Linked DNA regions of Mus musculus. The main gene of each other region encodes a partner of the protein of the gene in region 3 in a complex. Links are inferred from orthologs where the notes say so. Each region holds a gene or a part of one and is shown on either strand. Other genes may lie near its edges. The genes, in order: Rab11fip2, Myo5a, Rab11a, Myo5b, Rab3ip and Sh3bp5.

Region 1 (4,269 bases), on a different chromosome or scaffold from region 3:
TGTCAAAAATACAAAGCTTCACACCCAGCAGTTTCGTAGGACATCTCAATCAGCTGGTAGCCTTCATCACTCATTCCACTTTTCCAAAAAACACTTGGGAATATGCTGACAAGGGCTAGCAATGCGCAGCATATTAAATACCTTTCTTTTAATACACTGGTGGCTCAAGTCTGTCTCTTACTGTGCCACATGTGCAGCTGGGTTGGAAAAAGGAAGCTATTAAATATATTAAAAATCTAGAAATATTACCAATAAAGATACCTCATCAAATACACAGTTCCCATTTAGTCACCCGCACAAAACAATAAGGGTTTAATAACATGAAAATCTCTTTGTGTGCAGTAACATCGCAAACCCTGTTGATAGCATTTCAAAGCATCTCCCTTCCAAAAGCTGTCCTTGATTTTATAGACAGACTACACTGTTAGAGTATTGTTCATGGTCTAGTTTATTGTAACTGCAAAGCTGCCAAAGGCGGAAATAAAACAAGAAATTTTTAAAGGGCTACTTCGTTCTCAGCATCTTTGGATCTACACTTGGGCCTACTTAAATTTGGGAATTTACGTTCGAGTGGTCTGCAGTATATTACCATTAATATTAAAAGCACTTTTTAAAGCACGGCAAAAAATTTTGAAACTGTAGATGCTCAAAACCTCACAGTCAAAACACTTTAAAGGGTATACACTAGATCATTTCATAGTGACAATTTGGGACAAATTATTTGGTTATTATTCATTTTTTCATTTTAAATCTGATGAAGAATCCCTCAGAAGAAATAACATGCTATTAAGTATCAGGAAATTTAAAAATCATTAAATATACAACTTAAACTTCTTCTCCTCCCCCCATCCTCATTGAATATTTACCTATTTTTTTTCTTCTTGCATTTCTAGTATTTTTTCTTACATACACTAAATCTTAGGTAAAGACTTTATTCAAAACAAAAACAATTCTTATTAAATGAAGTTTGCTGGCAGGTTTTACAAAGGAAATAAAGACAGATAAAAGATCACTATACTTGTAAGAAATTAATGTGAGCTTAAAGTTATCATTGCAAAAATAGTGCTCTAAAGGGTAGGTAGATGAACATGCATCAGGACTGGGTTTTGTTCTTTTTTTTTTTTAAGCTACTTGGGAAAAGTGCAGTCCTCTGATGAGTTCCCTCAGCCCTCTTTTCACAAACTCCAGCCATCTCAATGAGCCTTCAGGCCCATTACAAGCTCTGCGTGTAAGGTAAGCGTGTACAAGCATGTAAGCTAAAAGCAGGACAGCAGACCTACCTTTCCAAAGATGCTACTTGTTTCAACTTAGCACATAACATCCTAGTGTTGATTTGAATTTTGATTTCTTAAATTAAGTATATCTAACTTAGGCTAGAAAGTTCAATTTCAAAAGCCATGTTTTCATCGAAGAAGTCATTAAATCACTGCATCACAAGACTGTAATCACTGTCTCTGATCTTACACAACAGCTTTGCTGAACTAATTCTTCAGTAAACAATAGCTCCACTATACTGTAAATTCAAAGGGAAAATGTCAGTGGGCTCAAGACTGAAGATGTCTGTGCAGACTTCCAAAACTTTTGTTCTTTTAACAACTTTCTACCCTATCAAGAAGTACTGACCCTGAAAACTGGTGGAGCAAAAATAAGGCCAACTGTTTCCAATGCTGAAATAAAGAGTTCTAAACCTAGTAACTTATCTTTTGACACCCTTTACTAGTAATTTATTTTTTTAACAGTGCTCAACAAACATAGACCTAATGGTACGCATATATTTAATTTTCTGGTTTTCTAGTTCATGCTCTAGGCCTCTTATAAAAAGTATTAAAACCCAGTGCAAAATATTCCACTAAGAGCTCTTAACCTCACACAGAAATGAGAAAAAAAAATGGTTTACTAATCACTCCATTAAAAAAAAAATCAGAGTAAAGGCTATTTCCCTTCAAAGTCATGCAAAGAGAAGTGCTTAATACTGGATCCTATTTCAATCCCAAAGACCAATGCCTCAAATATACTATGTTCAAGAACAGTAAATCCATATATCTTTAAGTACCCAAAATTCAAAATAAATTATATAACTTACTCTGTTTTCCTTCTTTGTTTGTCCTCAAAGATGTCATTGAGATTGATTGCCACCTGCCCTAAAAACTTATCCAGTCCCACCAGGGACCTGTGCATCACTATAAGAAAAAGAATGTATTTCTCCGGACTACCCTGCATGAGCAACCCAGGCAGCTCAAAGGAGGCCTCCTCCTTCCAGACCGGCTCCAGGGTTTTCTCTGCTACAGATGTAGAATACTTCTCTTTGCCCAACTGAATTATGGTGTATGTGTCATTGGTACCACTTTTGCCTTTTGGCTTCAGATCTTTAGCTTGGAGCACTGTGACCTGCACGTGGGTTGGAAACCACTTTTGGGCTTGCTCAGACAGCATCATTCTGGGTTTTTTGTTTTGTTTTGTTTTTCGGTTTTGTTTTTTGTTGTTGTTGTTTTGTTTTCTCTGCGCAGAGTTCAGAAGCGCAGGCAGAGCCCCTCCCGCGGGGAGAGCCCCGTACCCTGATCACTGCATCCTTAAGAGCACTTCAGTGAGCTGGGCAGTCAGGGCTGCCGCGAGGTCCCTAAGGGCTGCTGTCAGGAGGACCGGTAGGGAGGCCGCCGCCGCTGCTGGGGTCCCTTTCTTCCGTAGAAGCACAGGGGCCCACATCACCTCCGCGCCTTCCGGGCCTCCGCGCGCAGCCCCGCGCCCCGCTTCGCCGCTATCCTGAAACCTGCGCCCCTAGGGCCCGGCCTCCGCCCCGCGCGGCCCGGCTCCTCCTCCGACCCGGCTGATACGAACCGTCGACGGCCGTGGGGCCTGGCTCCCTCCGCCCGCCCGCGCGGCCTCGCCTCGGCTCCTCCCCCCCAAGAGTGGCGCAGGCCTGGGCGAGCGGGGCGGAAGCGGCCGACCTGGACCGGTGTCGGAGGGACGCGGAGCGCGGGTGGCAAACCGAGGCCGGGCGGTGTCACCGGGTGAGGCCTGGCCAGCAACCCGCGGCTCCTAGCGCCCGGCGCGCGGCGGCCGCGCCACTTCCGGGTTGGCCGTCTCCATGTTGAGTGGGGCTGCGCGAGGGGCGGGGCCGGGCGGGGTTGGGGGTCAGCGCCTCCCTGGTTGCCTTGACGACGGGGCGCGCGGTGCGGGACGCGGAGGCTGGGATGCGCGCGCTGGACGGTGGGTGCTGAGGTTCCAACCTGTCGGTTGCAGCGGGCTGGGGAACTGTGAGCCCGCAGAGGCCGACAAGGGGTTCTGGGAGGCGGCACTGGGCCCTATACACCGCCCGCTATTGGGAGAGAACCGGTTTCCATCTTGGAAGGCAGAAATCTGTTCCAGCTGTGTGTTCAGTCCTAGCTGGGCGCTGGTGTCCTTTAATGGTGGTAGTTCTTCTTGAGTGACAGTTCAGACTTCGTCCAACCGTTCTCCATCGTCTTGAAGAGGAAACCTTCAACTGACTAAAGGGACCTCCTCCTGAGCACAGACCAAAAGCAAAGGATGCAGATAGATTCCAAAGCTTAATAAAGATTCTCTTGCTTAATAAAGATTCCCTTGCTTAATAAAGATCATAGACGCTTTGGGATGGCGTCAGAAGACCAGGCCCCCATGCCTGCCACCATAATTCTACGGAACTATTTAGTCTTTTTTCCCCCTTTCTAAGTTGTGTGTATGGCGTCCAAGTCAAAAGCATTCCCTGAGCGCTCACTGTCAAGTCCTCCAGGAATCCAAACCCCAACTTCATGGCCAGAGAGGACAGGAGTACTGTCTCTGCTTTTCAGTCTCAGGAGATGCATACTACCTCTGTTGACTTTATTTCTGTCCATGTCTGCCTAGGAAAATTCTGAAGCTCTTTGGACTGCACTTCCTGGCAGCACATCCAACCTGCGGCCAACAATAGCTATGAATGAGGCCAAACCCAACCTTAAATGCTATGAGAGTATTTAACTGCATTGTGCTTTTCTTCAGGGAGAACTTTGCAGACAGACAACAGCTCTCCAAGCAATGTCAAAAGATTAGACATCCCTGAAGGACTTTAGAGAACTAAGCATTAAACAGACATGCTAACCAATCTGTTGACTGACTAAATGCTTTTCTCCCTTTATGGGACTAATTTTGAGAATAAATATGATAGATAGGAATGTGCTTTATCCAACTTAAAATGGTCATAAACTGTAAGGTATTGGGTTTATTATTATCGGGCAAGTTTTAGAACTTCTGTTATACAAGCTGAGTTTCCATCCC
Region 2 (4,298 bases), about 10 Mb from region 3:
TGCCCTTCACTGTAATAGAAGCTGATCTGTATCACACATCAAAATCTGCCTTAAAGGTCTGATGACAACTTTTAAAAGGGCACTTTTCATATTTACTCACATGCTGAATATCACAATTATGCCATGTCAGTAACATGTTTTTCCTTGTAATCTATCCACCACTTCCTTCTCTACAATCATCTGCAAGGGACAGACACTTGGGTTATACTGACATTTCTTCTAATGGTTTCCTTCCCTCTCCTAATACTTACTACTCTAGAATCATTCCTCTAGAATAAGTCCAACCTTTGCCATATCCAGACATCACCTATGTCCTGCTAACACATCTGCCAGCCTGTTGTTAAGGTAACAGCAGGTTATTTATGCCTTTGGAGATTCAAAGTGGGTCAAGAATATAATAAACAGACTGTGAGCCCTATGAGGAAAGGGCTATGACTTGTCCACTGTTAGAAACTCTAAACACAAGACAGAGTATTTGGTTTACAGGACACTCAATAAATATTCCTTCCTGTCATTAAACTAAGGCCCATTCACAGATCAGTGCACAAATAACTACAGAGTCAGGCTATTCTGAGGTATATCTAAATTTAGGAAAAAGCCCCTTAAGTCCCAACCTCAGTTTCAGTGACTAAATCTGTCTGTATCTAGGAAGACTATAAGATGAATTCTATTACACTGTGATGGAAACTCAAAACTTTATTATTTAAAAATGACAACACCTTCCCCAGTTTTCCCTACAAAATATTTTGTGTGGGGGCAGGGGACAAACAGATCTAGAAGTCCAGCAACTTACCACCCACCTAATTTCTGCTTATCAGCCTATAATTAGCAGGTCCAGGTTCAAGATGGGCTGATAGCAGGGGCCTGGTAGGGGGCCAGACAGGACAGAACAATGTAACAATGTGACAGCTCGTCACAGTGACATAATTGTTACTTGTATCTACTTCATACATAAATTGCAACGATTAAATGAGTTAATATTTCAAAACACTTAGAATTGTACTATGTAAGTTAAGAAGGTAACTTTTAGTCAATTTCCAATGATAGTCTTATAGAATTGCCATGCTGAAAAAAAAAAATTACTAGGTTTAGAGAAATGTTCTAATTGTACACTTCTTAAATCTAGGGCTAGAAAGAAAGTCCCAGGTTCATGCAAGCTCTTCATTTCATGGCTGGAAGAAAGTAATCATATACCTCATATTTGTTTAAAAAAAAAAAGAGTCACAGAAAGCTTTCACAACTAGTATTAAATGTGATCCTCACAACAGCTTGTAAGGAAGGACAAAAGGACAAATAAAATTCACTCTATTTACAAGTAAGAAACCTGAACCAGAGAGGTTATGTAGTTTGCCAAATGTCACACAGTTGGGTGGAAAGGTACAGATTTCTTTCCTCAAGGCTGCAATTTGGGCTCTGGGCTTATTGATGTCACGTGTGCAAGAGATGATTCCAAACTGCTAAAAGAAGAGTCCAGAAAGCTGGGGCTATCTATATATAGCTCAGTTGTAAAGGGTTTACCTAGTATGCATGAGGCCCTTACATTCAATCTCCGTGCCTGAGAGGGAGACAAAGGCAGAGACAGAGAGAGACGGGAAGAAAGAGATTCTGGTAAAAATGTAAAAACATGAACTTGAAAAGTTAAGGCAATTCTGTTGAGTGGAATTAGAGGTAATTTTAATAATCATTAGCTGGCAAAACATCCATTGAAACCGTAACATAAGATACCATGAATGCATACACCACACACTGCCCAACACAGATTTTCTAAACAGTCTCTCCAAAATACGCCATTCAGAGATTACCAGACCCTGAGAATATGGGCGTCGGTTTAAGATTGAAAAGGCTGCCACTTCCCCTAAATGAAGACCAAAAGGGAAAGGCTCGCCGGAAAGGAGGGTGAGGACACAGAGCTAACGAGGCTCTCGGGGATAACGCGCAGGTTGCAAACTCCCAGGCACCAAGAAGCCTAAGAATAAGCTCGCCATCTCCGGGCTGCATCTTCCCACAGGCTCCGCACCCCAGGGCAAATGGCAAGAACCCGGCAGCTAAAGGTGAAAGCGGACTGGCCATAACTGCAGAATCCGAAATAATCTCCCCGAGAGGCTGCTGCCTGGCGCATACCGGCACAGGACGTTATTTTAAGCACGAGTCCCGGGAGAGCGGCCCGAGCATCTGCCCAAGAGCATCCCATCCGAAATGGGCTCGGGAGGCAGAGCAGGGAGGTACAGCCGGGCAAGGAGGTACAGCCGGGCAGTGGGGTGCAGTCCGGTGGAACCTGCCGGTCCTACAGCCACGGTCCCGGCCGCGCGACCCCTCCCCAGGACAAGGCTCTGCGGCGCGCGTTACCTTGGTGTAGAGCTCGGACGCGGCCATGGCGGGCCCAGCGCCGACGCCCCCCGCCTAGGCGGAGGCCGCAGCTCGCGTGGCGGCCGCCCGCGCGGGTGAAACGGTGGCGGGCGGGGAGCAGGGGAAGGGCCGGGCCGGGCAGGGCGGGCCAAGCTGGCGGGCGGGCCCGGGCGGGCCGGGGCGGGGCGCGTCAGGCGCTAGCGGCGGGCGGGAGCCTGACAGTCATCACCTCCAGGGCTCGGCGGCCGCGTGAGCCCGAGGCGCGTGCTCGGGGGACTCGGGTACCAGCCTCCGCGGCCGTCGCCGCCTCAGTCTCCCCAAGCCGCCTGGTCCACACACACAGCCCTTGCGGTCTCTTCAGTCGCCTCGCGTCCTCAGCGCCCCCTCGCTCCCTCAGTTTCCTCAGCCGCTTCGCCTCCTTAGAGGCCTGGTCTCTGTAGCCTCCTCTGTCTCCTCCGCGGCGCGCGATGCCGCCGCCGCCGCCGCCGCCGCCCTGTGCATTGTGGGAGCGGGAGGAGGCTGCGCTCGAGCGCTGCCACCGCGATCCCTCCCGGCTCTTTCGGGCTCACGCTGCCTCCCATCGGCGGCGGGCACCGAGCATCCTCGGCCCATGCGGCTGGCATCCCAAACCTGCTTTGGCGGAGTGGCCCCCCACAGTGTGCGCGAAGGTGGGGCAGTGAGGGAGCGCGTCCCGCTCGAGGTAGCGACGGTTAGAGTGCCCGCGTAGACCCGGCAGCCTCAAGGCTGCTCCTCCTGGCCCTGCTGTTTGTAGGGAGAGGACTTGAGGTAGGGGAGGGTTCGGGAAAGGCCTTTCTGAGAACCTGCAACTCCAGAAGAGACTTGCTCACGGCAGGGCGGGAAGCTGCACCACCCGGAATTTGAAGGATGCTCAAGGTCACTCTGCATTTGGGTTTGCACCCTTGGTGATGCAAGGACATAGGGTGGCCTCTAACACACAGAAACTCCAATGAACCTGAAAACAAGATGGCACTGGGAAATGGCCCATCTTAGACTTGGGCGTTTACATAGGTTCGCCACCATTCAGAATGAGACCTTTGTTCTGCTGATCGTGACAGCACTACCTGATGCTGATCCTGGAGTCACCTGAAAACGGCAACCTACTGAGAGAAACTCAAGTGTTTGCAGTCTTGACGCAGTCTATTCCGTGCCCTTACACGGACACAGGAATGTGGTCTTTTTCATCCCAACATGTTCTCTCCAGCCACACTTTCGTGCTCACTTGGAATACTCTTTAAAATTTTTAGCCTTTTAAAATGTGTCCATCTTCCTTCTTTAAACCTTAAGTTGTGGCCAGTGCCTATCATGGGAATCCAGTTTTATTGTTTGGCTTGTTGGGTTTTGAGACAGGTCTCACTAAGCAGCCCGGGTTTTCTTCAAACTCGCCATCCTCCTGCCTCTGCCTTGTGAATGGTGAAATTTTAGAGACATGGTTCTGAGACCAGTACAATGGCAGTCAAAGCACAAGCCTGACTCCCTAGTTATGTCTGAACATGAGGTGGGTATTTGAAGGAAGACTGTTCACCACTTTGATGTTTCTGGATTCCATCCTTTCTTTGTCTGCCTGTGAAAGGAGACAAAATGTACTTTGAGCCAGCAGAGCATCCAAAGCAATGAGTTGAGCTCCTGTCTCTTACACTTCCTTCATGCCTGTAGAAGGTGCCTGTTTCCTTACCCTCTAGATATTAGCTACCGGTCAGGACAGTTGAGGAATACTGAGTATGATGGGTTGGTGAGTCGGAGGGGGGGGGGGTAGGAAGAACCAAAACACTCAAAACTCTGAGAGTTCTTATAAAAGTGACTTTTATTTACATGAACAAAAATAAAATTGGAATCATTCTTTCAAAATTTTCAAAGACATACTTTCAACCACCCTGATGTAAGAGAAAGAGAAGATGAGGGGTAGGAGAAAGGGTTTTTTTTCTTTTGGTGGT
Region 3 (2,979 bases):
CTCCTGAGATCTAACTCAACATGAAGACTCTTGTTGACATGCAAGCAAAGTCTCTTTCTAATACCTAATGTTGCCTGGAGGTCTCCCAAAATCCACCATGTACAAGTAGCATTTAAACCTATTCTTGGGGAAAAAAAAATCTATTCTTGGTTTAAAATAAAAAAATTTTAAAAAGCTACTCTTACTCATTTTCATTCACTACATAATTTATTTTTTCTTAGTTTTAGTTCATAAATCTATCGTAAATTTTAATAGAAATGGAAGCTTTTCCTGTGTCTAGTGACACTGTTAGAAAAATACAGCCTGTGTCACCACCATTTTTAGAAATAGCTCCCCAAGAGTACAACGTTCTCTGCAGATCTAAAGTCTACCTGAACTGACAGTTGCCCCCAATCCAAGTTTACTCAGCAATGCAAGGACTTATCTTCTCACTCATCAGAAGCAAGGTTTTCATGGCTACTTCTAAAGCACTCAGAAGAAGAATGTAATCTCACCACACTGGGAAAGCCCCTGTAACTGTTTATTAGGATGAGGATGTACTCCAAATCAATAGATTAAAAAAAAGTCCAAATACAGAGCATGCATAAAATACAAAGTAGCAATTTATAAATAGACAGTATCTTTATAACCAATACACTAAAATAACAAATAACTACAAAAGAAAAACAAAATGACTGACTATAGCAATGCCTTCTGTGCTCCCCACACATCATGAGCACTGCAAAAGGCAGAAGATTTAACCATGAAACATAGTCATCTATGCAAGCCCACACAGTTTTTGCAGGTATCCCACCATCCTTAATAACGTCTTTGCAGTTAACTTTCAGAAAACGTCAGGGTAAGTGCTTAATATTATCCACAAGGAAGTAAAACTAAGTATTAGTGTGTACATTTCTGAATGAGAAACTAGTTGTTCCATTGATTTCAATTATGTAGTGGAAAAATCTATTTCAGGGCCCTACAATGGCTAAGTACATTCTACTTAAATTCAAGGTACTATTTCACTTTACATACTAAAAGAACACATGCCTTTAAGTGGTACCACTTGAGTATAAATTAACTTCTCACTGTATTCTTTAGACATACTAAAACCAAAGGATTAATTGAGCTATATTCCATTATACACTGCAGAACTCAAATATAAGCATTGTTAAAATAATTACCCATGCTGGTTGCTGAATATGGTGATAAAATTAGGCTGCATTTCACTTACTAGACAGGTTTAAAAGCAAAATTAACACTTCAAAATGTGATATTACCAGCATTAAGCTAGTTATTACATGAGCAATAAAAATATCACAATCTAGGAAATGAGATTGGTTAAGCTACTCTGGCTGCCGATCACTGCAACAGAGACACCTCAGACAGAAGTCCACTAGCCTACCAGACAGCAGGGTAACTTTGACCACATAACCACACCCTATGCAAACCATAACAGTCCTTTGTGTTTATTAATTCTTTTCCAGAAAAACAACAAAAAAGAATCCCCATCATGTTTGATGCTTACAAAAATTAAAGAAAAAATTTACAACATAGACCTATTAAGGCATTTTAGAAACTGACTTCCACAATGGAAAATCTTCAAGCTCTCAAAATGCTGTTATGTTTACAGGGCAATCCTTAGATCTGTCAAAATATGTACTGTATTGAGAAGAGTGTCTTACAAGCTGCTCTGTGGCAAAACAATAGCTTATTTCTAAGGTTGTCTTAGATCTGATCAGGACCAATAGGTCTAAACTTCAAGTGATAGAGTTCTATTCTGTCCTACAGTGACAGGCTTCCATGATGAAGAGTAAACAATAACTGAGAACTTCAAACATTCAGTTTATTAAACTAAGGCTAGAGAAGCCATAGCATGAAAAAGAACTGCAGTCATTCAGGACAAAGTTGAGGATTTTATAAAGCCAAATCAAAAGACTTAAGACATGGGAAGATTCTTAAGTGTAAGGAAGTAATAAAACACAGAAAGTGACCACAAGAATTACAAATATATTTAAATCTCAGACCTGGGAAATGGACTATACACAGCCTTCTAGGGGAAGAGACGCCTTAGATGTTCTGACAGCACTGCACCTTTGGCTTGTTCTCAGTGGTGGGCGGAACATGAATAGGAACCACATTGTTGCTTGGAGACATGTCATTTTCACGTCTGTCTGACATTTGCTTCTGAGAAACAATGCGGTATATCTCTGAATGACAGAAGAAACAGAAACACTCAGTGTGTATAAACCATGAAGACTTTGTGTAAAAGAGACAGAAGACACACAGAACAGAAAGATACACATTACATTTTATTTGTAGGCTAAGCATGGTAGTGCACATCTGTGACCCCAACACTTGGGAGGTGGAGGCAGGAAATTAAGGAGTTCGGGACCAACCTCAGCCACACAGCAAGTTGAAAAGACAGCCTGGGCTACTGGAACTTTATCTCAAAAGGTAAGGTTTTATTTTCAAATAGCCATTAACTAGAACCAAAGCATTGCTTTTAACAATTTGTGGCCAGGCAGTGGTGGCGCATACTTGGTCTACACAGCCTGGTCTACAGAGTGAGTTCTAGGTCAGCCAGGGTTACACAGAGAAACCCTGTCTCAAAATACCAAAACCCAAAAAAAAAAAAAACCAAAAAAACAAAAAAAACAAAAACAGAGAACGCAGGCCTCCATCTTGCCTTCCCAGTGTTCCTTCTTAAGCAATATCATCAAAAAGTAGGGAAACTCTACAAACGGGCAACCAAATATAATCAGCCTTCCAATAAGATGTACTAGAAAAGACACAATGTACTCCTATGCAGGTTTCATGTGTCCCTGACAAAACAACTCTTGGTGAATTTGCTCAAGCAGAAATAGGACAAATGCAGAGTCAAATAAGTATAAATTTTCTATCTCTGCTACCTTATACAGTAGGTAACTATCTAAATAAAAATTAAAAATCCATGGCTATGCATGGAGAGCCACAGCCTTTAATCAGAAGATGGAGGCA
Region 4 (3,500 bases), on a different chromosome or scaffold from region 3:
AACCCAGCCAGAGGTGGCAAAGCCTCCCTGAAAGCAGCTTCAATCTCAGCCAGGCTTTTTCCTGGCTGTGCATCCTTTGGTTGGTTACTTATCCCCTCTGTGCCCTTAAGTGCACTCATGGTTAAAATGGAGATGATAGCAATACTTATCCCATAGGTGTGGTGAAGATCAGTGGGTTAAGGCATGGGTACAGTGCCTGGCATGAAAACCACAAGGGAATCAGTGTGAGAAAGATCTCACATGTTCCCTGATTACCTGCTGTATACAGGGAGCCTTGCCCAGGGTGACAGCATCTGCCACTGCTCACAAATGTTTGCCGAGCAGAAAGCTTAAGGCGAGAGCTTTATTTAAAAATAGGCCTTTCAAATCTGCTTCTCTCCGACGTTCAAGCACGTGGGGTGGGAAATACCGTGTTATTTTTATCCTCTGGAGTTGACCTCACACACCAGCAAGGCCAATACTGAGCACTATCTGAAACCAGGGCCCAGGGGGGGCCTGGGTACACAGATGCTCCTCCCTAGTAGGGACAGTGGCTTTAGTCGCCTTGTCCTCTGGCCACACTGTGTCTAGAAAAGTGACTCAGTGGTCACTGGCACTGACAGTCCTGACAGAAACAGGGGACACCGTGGTGCTTTGTGTTTTCACAGACCTCTCCCTGACTTGCTGGGTCACCACAGGCTGACCAGGGTAGGAAGTGGGCATCCCCAGCTCACACTGGGAGGGCTGTCTTTTTATACTGAGCATTTGTACCGGCTGGTTTTGTGTATAAGCTCGACACAAGAATCACCAGAGAGGAAGGAGCCTCAGTTGAGGAAATGCCCCCATGAGATCCAACTGTAGGGCATTTTCTCAATTAGTGATCAGCGGGGGAGAAGACCAATGGATGGTCCTATCATGGGTGGTACCGTCCCTGGGCTGGTGGTCCTGGGTTCTATAAGAGAACAGGTTGATCAAGCTATGGGGAGCAAGCCAGTAAGCAGCACCCCCTCCATGGCCTCTACATCAGCTCCTGCCTCCAGCTTCCTGCTCTGTTTGAATTTCTGGTCTGGCTTCCTTTGATGATGAACTGTGATGTCGAAGTCTAAGCCAAATAAACCCTTCCCTTCCTGACTTACTTTTGGTCATTGCGTTTCATCACAGCAATAGTAACCCTAACTAAGACAGCATCCAAGCCAACACTCTGGGTAACTCCAAGAGAACACATACCCAGGGCACTGGCTCTTCCACAAGCCTGGTCTCTGCCCAGAACAGGAAAGCAAAGTGCCCCATTGTCAGCTGTCTCCACACAGGGGCTCATGTGTAGGACAGCTAGCTTAGCCAAAAACTGGTTCATTGTACTGGAAATGTGACTCAGTTGGCAGGATGCTTGCCCTGTGGCATGAAGCAGGGGTGAGCCCTAGCAGGGGATAAAACTGAGCCTGGTAGCCTACCACTGTGCTTCCAGCATTTGGGAGGTAGAGTCAGAGGTTCAAAGTCATTTTTGGCCAGAAATGGAGTTTGAGGCTAGCCTGGACTACATAAAAGTCTATCTTTAAAAAATAATACCAATAAAAACAAAAACAAAACAAAATGACTCACCTATTTTCCTGCCCTCAGGTTATGAGAAGCTCCAAAAATGCCTACTATAGCATGAGTACATTAAGATCAAGTGTCCCCACTGCCACTGCTGCTCTCCCACTGTCATGGCTGGTCCCCCACTGTCATGGCTGATCCCCCACTGTCATGGCTGATCCTCCACTGTCATGGCTGATCCTCCACTGCCACAGCTGGCCCCCTATTGCTATGGCCAGTCCCCCACTGCTATGGCTGGTCCCCCACTGCCAGGTTTTTCTTTTCCTCACATCCACACCATGTGCGCCTTCATCCTTTCTCTCCTGAGTCTACATGACCTCAAAGAAGGCAGTATTTTACGCTTGCCTCAGATCCTGTCACAGAACTCCATCCATAGTGGGCATTGACACACTGCTCATCCAGCTGGTTGACGTGCGAAGGTAGCCAGTGCAGAGTTAAAAAGCCTAATCAATGCAATACCAATGTCATATCAGACAGGATGCCAACATTTACCTCATGGGGACCGTCATAAACAAAGAGGGAAACACGGTGTGGGTCCACACAGCCATTGCTGTAGCTATACTGTGAAGCCTCTGGAGAGGCAGGGCCTCAGGACTCTGGACGAATCTATCAATTTCTTATTGCTCCATTAAAAAGTACCATGGAGGGCTGGAGAGATGGCTCAGTGGTTAAGAGCACCGACTGCTCTTCTGAAGGTCCTGAGTTCAAATCCCAGCAACCACATGGTGGTTCACAACCATCCGTAATGAGATCTGACGCCCTCTTCTGGTGCATCTGAAGACAGCTACAGTGTACTTAAATATAATAATAAATAAATCTTAAAAAAAAAAGTACCATGAAGCTGGTGGCTCAGAACAATGTAAGCTACTATTTTGCAGCTCTGGAAGGAGCTTCTAAAGGTGGCCAGCAGGACTGTGGTTGTTTAGAGACTCCAGGGGAAAACCTCCCACTGTTATCTGTAGCTCCCAAAGGTGGCCTGGATACTGGAGCCTGTGGCTCTGCATCCTGCTCCCCAATCCTGTCTGCAGCTTTCTCTCGTGAGCACGCTATGATCCCATGGGGTCCACCTGGACAGCCTAAGGCCACCTTCCCATCCAGACACCTCTAACATATGCACTCTTGCAAAGCTCCTTGTTGTGTGTGAGAGAGCACATTTGTAGATCCCGAAGATTGGGGCGTGCTGCCTTTGTTGGGGAGTGACACTATTCAGTGACTATGTTCAGCAACTATTCTTACTGACTGGGCAATGCCCCTGAGGTCTCTGGTACCTGCAGCTCCCTGAGAAAGCTTGGGGGTCCATCTCAAGCATGTCCCAGTATCCCCTAAGCTTCGACACCCATGTAGGAGACTCCTACCACTGACCTGGTCATCAATCTTCCGCTGTAGCTGGACGACTTTGTTCTCCATGCCCACGTTGAGGCGTTTCAGATGCTCTGCCGAGCGGGCCTCAATCTTGAGGGCCTTCAGCTCCTGCCTGGCCTTGAGTCTCCGGAAGGCACACTGGATGACAATGGCTGCATCCCGCTCCCGCAGAAAACGCTTCCGTGCCATCCAGCCTCGGGCGTACTTCTGGATGATGGTGGCTTTGTGCTCCATGAGGACCTGGTGAGGATGAGTACACATATCCTGTGGGTTTGCTCTGCAGGATGGGGACAGGTACAGCTTCTGTAACTACGGGGGTTTGAAAGCTGGCCTGGCCTTGGGTTTAGGAGACCATGCATATGTGGCCTGTAACATCCAAGGATTTGATGGAAAGTTTTAGCTAGGTTCTGTAGACCTTGTGTACACAGGAGAGTGGCTGACAAACTCTTGTTTCTACCTTTATTTATTAGATAGATATGGTTTGAATAGGAATGGCCCCCGTAGACTTGTGTGTGTGTGAATGCTTGCTTGGCATGGCACTATTAGGGGGTGTGGCCTCGTTAGAG
Region 5 (3,500 bases), on a different chromosome or scaffold from region 3:
GTCCCTGCCCTCCCTGCGTCTGCTGTGACAGGCTCTCCGTGCCCTCCCTGTGTCTGCTGTGACTGACAGGCTGTCCCTGCCCTCCCTGCGTCTGCTGTGACTGATAGGCTGTCCCTGCCCTCCCTGTGTCTGCTGTGACAGGCTCTCCCTGCCCTCCCTGCGTCTGCTGCGGGCCCTGCTCTGGAACAGTCTCGTGGGCTCAGTAATGCTGCTCTGAGGCTGTACTGCCGCCTTGCTCCTTGTGATTGGTGTTTAAAGCCCATCAGCAGCCTGAGGGCTATGCTAAGATTCTAACACCACTGCAGTGGCTGGCGCCCTTCTGCTGACTGGAACATGGTGACCCTTGCTTTACTTGGTACCATCATATCTCCACCTCGGGAAGTCGGACATGAGAGCAGAAAACACAGGAAACTTACGGTTGGCCCCTTCACTCTCCCATCAATTAAAGTCAGTCTGAGCACTTCTAGGGCTTGCTTATCTTCATACCCACAGACTCCCCAAGGAATGGCAGCTGAACCTCGTGTGAGCTAACGAAGCAATCTGCCAATGAGTCATACCCATCCCGACAATTTTTTTTCTTTTATTTACTTATTTTATTTATGTGAGCAGACTGTAGCTGTCTTCAGATACACCAGAAGAGGGCATCAGATCTTATTACAGATGGTTGTGAGCCACCATGTAGTTGCTAGGAACTGAACTCAGGACCTCTGGGACAGCAATCAGTGTGCTAACCACTGAGATATCTCTCCAGATCCTTGACATTTTTTCTTAAACTTTTTTTTTTCCTGAGACAGGATACCATTAGCTTGCTAGTGCTGCCCTTGAACTCATCCTACAGCTTTCCCTGGCCTTGAAAGTGTTATCCTCCTGTCTCCCCCTCTCCCCCCAGCTGTTGATCTCTCAAAGGGTGAATACAGTACGATTCAACACTCGTGACATGTACAGTGTGATCTATCACATATCCCTTGCAAGGTGAACTGGTTCTACTCAAACCTCAAGAGCAAATGGGATAAAAACCGTCTTTTGTGGATGAGGTATTTGTTCTTCTAAATTATCCAAAGTTTTGTTAGTAGTGGTCAGGAAGTTTAATGGAACTGCAGGAACAATTACACTGTTGCTCTGACGGGCTCAACCTTAAAGCAAATGTCTACAGTGAAACAAGACCACTCACCATCCTGCTGTTTCACGAGTCCCTGCTGAATGTATCGAATGTATGTAAAAAAGTTACATACAGAAGTGATCTAGGCCAAAAGAGAGAGACGTCACAACCAGTCAGTTTCACAGCGAGGCAGACAGTATTAAAGGCCACGGTGGCACATGTCACTCACCCTGTATCTGCAGAAAGGAGAGATGTAGTAACAGCAGCTGGAGTCCCCGAGCCTAATCCTGTGCCTGCAGGGCTTACTCTGGCCAGTGAGCGCACACTTTCTGCAAAACAACAAATTTCAGCTTTGTTTTACAGTTGAAAGCATTTGCCCTACTTCCTTTACATTTAGTTTTTCATTAAGATAGGAAATATCTGAGACCCTAACATGTGACGGGCCTGCTCTGGATGCGGGGCCACCGTGAAGAACAGGACAGAGACCCTGCCCCTGTGCGACCGACTCCCAGCATGAGCTTCCGGCCGCAGCACTGAGCAGCACTGAGCTCGCTTCCAGAACAGACGATGGTGTTTGCCATACACGTCCCGGCTGCGGGCAAGCAGCTGCAGGACGGCGCTCACCTACCTTCAGCTTCCTAGCTGAGAGGAAGCTAATCAGGACTATTCGAGTCTTACAACCACCGATAACAGGAACAGCTGCCAAAAGCAGTCTGTGAGGTTGGTAGGGTTGGCTGCACTTGGTGTCGGATGTAAGAAGTATAAAGAAGCAAGCCGCCCTTTAGATACAAAACCGTAACGCTGGTATGAAGAGGCCAGCTCATACCATCCTGTCTGTCTGTCTGTCTGTCTGTGTGTCTGTGGGTGTTCCGGCTGGTCAAGGCTATACATTCCTGGAGGGTAGATACTGTGTCTTATTTATCTTTAAAGCCTGGCCCCAGGTAGCCACCCACTGACTGCTAAATAACTGATGGGCCACCTGTCACCGTGCTGCTCCAAGAGTGAAGCCCGTTTGTGTACCAGGCTGGACCTGCCCACTCGTCAGCTGGGAACCTGACAGACACAACCACCCCTCTTAGTTAAGGGAAAGTTAGCATAGCTCTCAGGAAGTGGCCAATACCATTTGACATGCCATTACAAATTACACAACGAAGGCAATCAATACATATGAGCCACATTAGATGTGAGCTGCACCTACGAGACACAGGTGTTCCTCGGCTAAGAAACCAAGTACATAACGTGTTATTTGGAACAAGATCATTTTAAAGGCATACTGCAAATGTCTCTGAAAAAGAGACTCTCTGTTCTTTTCAAAGAGACTTTGCCTTATCGCCTATGCATGTACACACATGCATGCATGCATGCACATACAAACACACACACGTGCAAACTGTTTTAAAGACCCGTGGCAATATTTAAAAGTACTAACTACTGGCTTGGGAAGGATCAGAAGTCAATAAATTTAAGATTCAACAGCTAGAAGTCCTTGTAACATACAAAAGCAGAATTTATTCAGAAGGAAAACAAATACCATTCAACTGAAAAAACCAAGCAAGCCAGTTACAGCTACTCTTCTGGAAAATATGTTTGCTCTTTCACCGTCTGTCTCACTTTGAGAGGGTTTTGCTCGTGAGGTCCCAGGTGCTAATTTTTAGACTAATAAGAAGTGCCCTTCAAAGCACTGGCTCTGTCTTATGGAGGGTCCTTCTCCGTGTGTGTGCTGTGTGTATATGCTTCCTCGTGCCCAATAAAAACTTTTCCTCAATTGCTTAAAAAAAATCTTAAATGATCCTTTTCAATGCTGCCATGGTCCCGGGCTCACTCCTAGCCTTGCCTCCTGTGAGGCTGGCATAGAACATGCCACGCCTGCGGGGTCTCCTCACGGGCCTAGGCTCCAGATTCCAGACTATCGCTCCCCTTGTCACTCAGGGATGGCAGCGTAGAAATCCCAGCCCATAGCTTCTTCCACAAGCCAGAACCTTTTCCAAATTCCAACCAATTGAGGGGCAGTCACGACTAGGCTCCTCCTTCTTCCAGCCCCACCCCATCTACTTCCGGTCTTTCATTTGTCACACCTCTCCCTCTTCTGTTTTCCCTTTCCTCTGAACATACTCTTTTCCTGTTCCAATTTATTCAATTCTACCCACACCCCAAACCCTAGACAAATCTCTCCAATCCAGGGCCCCCTGTTCCAGCTGGAATGACCTTGTCTCTCTCAAACACCCCCAGCACTTGCCATTTGTTTAGTCACCATTTCTGAAAGCCAGTTCCCAGGAGCCTCAGGAGGGCTTTACAGTTTGCTTAAAACTGCACTTTCGGAGCCAGCAGGATGGCTCAGTGGGTAAAGGCACTGGCGGGAGGGAGAGGGAGGGGGGGAGAGGGGGAGGGGGAAAGGGGGAGG
Region 6 (2,493 bases), on a different chromosome or scaffold from region 3:
GAAGAAGAGGAAGTGGGGATAGAGATGAAGGCTGGTGACCCCAGTCTGGCTAAGTGTCCAGCTCTCCTCCTGGCCCTGCAGGTTCTTTCTCAGAAACTAGTTATTGCTTCCACGCTGCCGCTACAGGGAATGCTCTGCAAAGACCGTGACCCTCCCTGGTCACGGTTTACCTGCAATGGCTCTGCTCTGAAAAGCACACCAGCCCAAGAGCTCTTACCAGAGGGAAAATGTTTAGCCCTCAAGGTCACTGAAACTTGGTTAGTGCAGTTTAGAGTAAATGCATACTATTTGGCTTATGTTAAATGATTATTGGCACAATGTTCTTGAATTTCATGTATAAATATGATCTGCACATAGGCCATAGCCCTTGGGTGGATCAGCCAATCTGCACCATTTTTATGTCAGCAATAATTCCATCTCTTCCTTTTGAGCACTGTAGGGAGAGCTGCTTCATCCGGGTTTCCAAGGCCTGGCTCTCAAGGGACGTGCTGCTTTGGCTCCTGCTCCTGCCACTGCCACCGTTGGTGCTGCCGAGAACACGGTTGTTGTTGGCTTTGTCACTCATTTTATTCTCGGCCCCTTCTGCTCTGTCTCCTGCAGAGATACAAAGATTGCCAAATGGGGGTGGTCAGTTTCAAGAGTTCCATAGGCACCAGCATCGGCCACCTGAGCCCTCTGCCATTCCTGCTGTCCACCATACATCTCAGAGGTTCTCCAGCACTGGGTGGCACACTACATGCACTCACTAATCTGTTCTTTAGAGATGAGATGTACCATTGTCATTTTGTAGCTAGGAAGCGAACCTCTCCAACAGGAACTTGCCGAGAGGATTGTTCTTAGGGGAGACATGGGACCTAAGTTCTGCTTGGTTGAAGTTGGCCAGGACTGTAGAAGTGCCCTTGAAAGTAATCTGAGTGATCCATCCCACTGTATGTTCTCAGGGCCCCTGAGACCTGGCAAAGGTATGGACAGTGCACAAGTTGAGCTGCAACCTACCTCGTTCAACCTCACATTCAGGGGAGGAGGCCCCACTGCATTCACTTCGAGGACCCAGTATTGGGAACATCATCCCAAATTCTGACAGGGACACAGGGCTAGGCAGATCCAGACTGCCAGGCCTTGCCACTGCAGGGAACTGATCAGGCATTTCAGACGGACTCGTCGGTCCCGAACTAAAGCTGGACACAGACTGGGTTTCCGAGTCATCTTCAGACACCAAGTTGCTGCAGTTGTCATCTTCAAAGGCTTCTGATGCCACTGTGATGAGAGAGGACATCAATCACATGGGATCTGCCAGGTAGTAGCCCAGTCCCTTAAATGCCTGCAGACATGCTCTCTGCTGGACATGCTCACACAACATGGAGTCTGCAGGACCTGCATCGCACCTGAACCTGTCTGACCAGCCTCCAGAACAGTTTGAAAGGAAGCGGCTTGTCCAGCATATACAAAGGCCTGAGTTCCATCCCCAGCGCCGAAGGAAAGGGGAAGGTAAATTCAGACTAGCCCTTTGTAATGTAGCCTATACTAGGCAGAAGGAAGACGGAAGCAGCAAGAGCTGCTGGAAGGAGGGGCAGGCCGGGGTGGGATGTCTGATAACTTCTGATCTCAACAGACACGCTACAAAGTACAGTGCTCCTTTCCAGTACTCTAACTGACTCTGAGTTTGTGGACAGAATAACCGAGGCTCAGAGACAGGCCATTCTTGTTTTCAAAGCCTCTTCAGCCTGCACTATCACTTTTAAGATCCTTCCCAGTTCCCATTGTGCCTGTGACTGTTTAAACATGGCCTAGCGTTCCAGAGTGGATTGATACAAGTGCTGTGCTAGGAAATGGGTCCAGATCTGAACTCATATCCTAACGCCACTGCTGACTGTGTGGCCTTGTAAGTCACTTGACTGCCCAGCTTCGGGATGCTCTGTGCACAGGATTAATGAGGTAATATGTAAAGTAACTCAGTACATAGGCATTGGTTACATTTTAGTTTCATTTCCCTTCAAACTGGCAATTCAGCATTTGTTGATGGCCTTTAACACTTGGTGGGGCCAGAGATGCTCTTCTAGAGGACCCAGGATTGATTTCCAGCACTTACATGGCAGCTAATAACTAATTCCACAAGACCCAGTGTCCTCTTCTGATAGCAGGCAATTATGTGGTATACATAGATTCATGTGGGAAAGATACAAATTATTTTTCTTAAATAATAGTAATAAGGAAAAGAAAAAAAAAGAGTTGCTGAGGAGGAAGCCTAAGCACACAGGAAAGGGAGAGCTATGAGGTAGTGTTCTTGTCAGTAGTTTTCTTGATTAACGGAAGCTAGGTCAATCCTATCATTTCTGCACAGGATATCCCTGAGCAGAGGAGACCCGTGTGCTCAGACCCTAGGGAGAGCTGCCAGGTATCTCCTCAGCACCCTGTGTAGCAGAGTAGACCCTCATGCAGCTGACACAGCAAACACATCAAGGCCCCTCTGTCCCCCATCATTGGTGAAATGGG

What was found.
Region 1: the proteins of Rab11a (region 3) and Rab11fip2 are in contact, whole or in part, in a crystal structure (PDB 2GZD), measured with the Homo sapiens proteins. The link is inferred for Mus musculus from reciprocal best matches to the Homo sapiens genes RAB11A and RAB11FIP2. Residues at the interface, in NP_004654.1 of Homo sapiens: Arg33, Ile44, Gly45, Val46, Glu47, Phe48, Ala49, Thr50, Lys61, Trp65, Arg72, Arg74, Ala75, Ile76, Ala79, Tyr80, Arg82; in NP_055719.1 of Homo sapiens: Glu478, Ile481, Asp482, Asn483, Leu485, Val486, Met489, Glu490, Pro493, Ser494, Leu496, Arg497, Val498.
Region 2: the proteins of Rab11a (region 3) and Myo5a are in contact, whole or in part, in a crystal structure (PDB 5JCZ), measured with the Homo sapiens proteins. The link is inferred for Mus musculus from reciprocal best matches to the Homo sapiens genes RAB11A and MYO5A. Residues at the interface, in NP_004654.1 of Homo sapiens: Arg33, Glu35, Ile44, Gly45, Val46, Glu47, Phe48, Ala49, Thr50, Gln63, Trp65, Gln70, Tyr73, Ala75, Ile76, Ala79, Arg82; in NP_001369276.1 of Homo sapiens: Ile1660, Gln1661, Trp1738, Met1742, Arg1745, Tyr1746, Ser1749, Gln1750, Glu1753, Arg1756, Gln1777, Gln1780, Val1781, Lys1782, Lys1784, Met1795, Glu1818.
Region 4: the proteins of Rab11a (region 3) and Myo5b are in contact, whole or in part, in a crystal structure (PDB 4LX0), measured with the Homo sapiens proteins. The link is inferred for Mus musculus from reciprocal best matches to the Homo sapiens genes RAB11A and MYO5B. Residues at the interface, in NP_004654.1 of Homo sapiens: Leu11, Lys13, Arg33, Glu35, Ile44, Gly45, Val46, Glu47, Phe48, Ala49, Thr50, Gln63, Trp65, Glu71, Arg72, Tyr73, Arg74, Ala75, Ile76, Thr77, Ala79, Tyr80, Arg82, Gly83; in NP_001073936.1 of Homo sapiens: Ile1627, Gln1628, Gly1629, Leu1630, Trp1706, Met1710, Arg1713, Tyr1714, Ser1717, Gln1718, Glu1721, Arg1724, Gln1745, Leu1747, Gln1748, Leu1749, Lys1750, Lys1751, Glu1755, Ala1759, Leu1763, Tyr1779, Glu1786.
Region 5: the proteins of Rab11a (region 3) and Rab3ip are in contact, whole or in part, in a crystal structure (PDB 4UJ5), measured with the Homo sapiens proteins. The link is inferred for Mus musculus from reciprocal best matches to the Homo sapiens genes RAB11A and RAB3IP. Residues at the interface, in NP_004654.1 of Homo sapiens: Phe36, Leu38, Glu39, Asp127, Leu128, Arg129, His130, Leu131, Arg132, Ala133, Pro135, Thr136, Leu156; in NP_783322.1 of Homo sapiens: Asn367, Thr368, Leu369, Ser370, Ile371, Glu372, Pro373, Asp412, Arg424, Thr428, Cys431, Asn432, Thr435, Tyr439, Leu444, Val445, Lys446, Gln447, Gln448.
Region 6: the proteins of Rab11a (region 3) and Sh3bp5 are in contact, whole or in part, in a crystal structure (PDB 6IXV), measured with the Homo sapiens proteins. The link is inferred for Mus musculus from reciprocal best matches to the Homo sapiens genes RAB11A and SH3BP5. Residues at the interface, in NP_004654.1 of Homo sapiens: Tyr8, Asp9, Tyr10, Leu11, Lys13, Glu35, Phe36, Asn37, Leu38, Glu39, Ser40, Ser42, Thr43, Ile44, Phe48, Lys58, Gln63, Trp65, Tyr73, Ile76, Ala79, Arg82, Gly83; in NP_004835.2 of Homo sapiens: Asp42, Ile45, Gln46, Leu49, Glu50, Asn53, Thr56, Ile59, Asn60, Glu63, Thr64, Glu67, Lys240, Tyr243, Leu247, Leu250, Glu251, Ile253, Ser254, Asp255, Ile257, His258, Arg261.

Annotation. Positions count from the first base shown.
Region 1 is NC_000085.6:59,940,565-59,944,833, forward strand, and holds the start of Rab11fip2 (rab11 family-interacting protein 2), read right to left. Parts: upstream 2,801-4,269; 5' UTR 2,437-2,800; coding exon 2,084-2,436; intron 1-2,083. UniProt on the Homo sapiens protein: A Rab11 effector binding preferentially phosphatidylinositol 3,4,5-trisphosphate (PtdInsP3) and phosphatidic acid (PA) and acting in the regulation of the transport of vesicles from the endosomal recycling compartment (ERC) to the plasma membrane.
Region 2 is NC_000075.6:75,069,708-75,074,005, reverse strand, and holds the start of Myo5a (unconventional myosin-Va), read right to left. Parts: upstream 2,801-4,298; 5' UTR 2,374-2,800; coding exon 2,347-2,373; intron 1-2,346. UniProt on the Homo sapiens protein: Processive actin-based motor that can move in large steps approximating the 36-nm pseudo-repeat of the actin filament. Can hydrolyze ATP in the presence of actin, which is essential for its function as a motor protein. Involved in melanosome transport.
Region 3 is NC_000075.6:64,714,800-64,717,778, forward strand, and holds the end of Rab11a (ras-related protein Rab-11A), read right to left. Parts: intron 2,190-2,979; coding exon 2,050-2,189; 3' UTR 501-2,049; downstream 1-500. UniProt on the Homo sapiens protein: The small GTPases Rab are key regulators of intracellular membrane trafficking, from the formation of transport vesicles to their fusion with membranes.
Region 4 is NC_000084.6:74,701,119-74,704,618, reverse strand, and holds part of Myo5b (unconventional myosin-Vb), read right to left. Parts: intron 3,175-3,500; coding exon 2,935-3,174; intron 1-2,934. UniProt on the Homo sapiens protein: May be involved in vesicular trafficking via its association with the CART complex. The CART complex is necessary for efficient transferrin receptor recycling but not for EGFR degradation.
Region 5 is NC_000076.6:116,908,954-116,912,453, forward strand, and holds part of Rab3ip (rab-3A-interacting protein), read right to left. Parts: intron 1,429-3,500; coding exon 1,329-1,428; intron 1,242-1,328; coding exon 1,172-1,241; intron 1-1,171. UniProt on the Homo sapiens protein: Guanine nucleotide exchange factor (GEF) which may activate RAB8A and RAB8B. Promotes the exchange of GDP to GTP, converting inactive GDP-bound Rab proteins into their active GTP-bound form.
Region 6 is NC_000080.6:31,374,608-31,377,100, forward strand, and holds part of Sh3bp5 (SH3 domain-binding protein 5), read right to left. Parts: intron 1,258-2,493; coding exon 997-1,257; intron 595-996; coding exon 377-594; 3' UTR 1-376. UniProt on the Homo sapiens protein: Functions as a guanine nucleotide exchange factor (GEF) with specificity for RAB11A and RAB25. Inhibits the auto- and transphosphorylation activity of BTK. Plays a negative regulatory role in BTK-related cytoplasmic signaling in B-cells.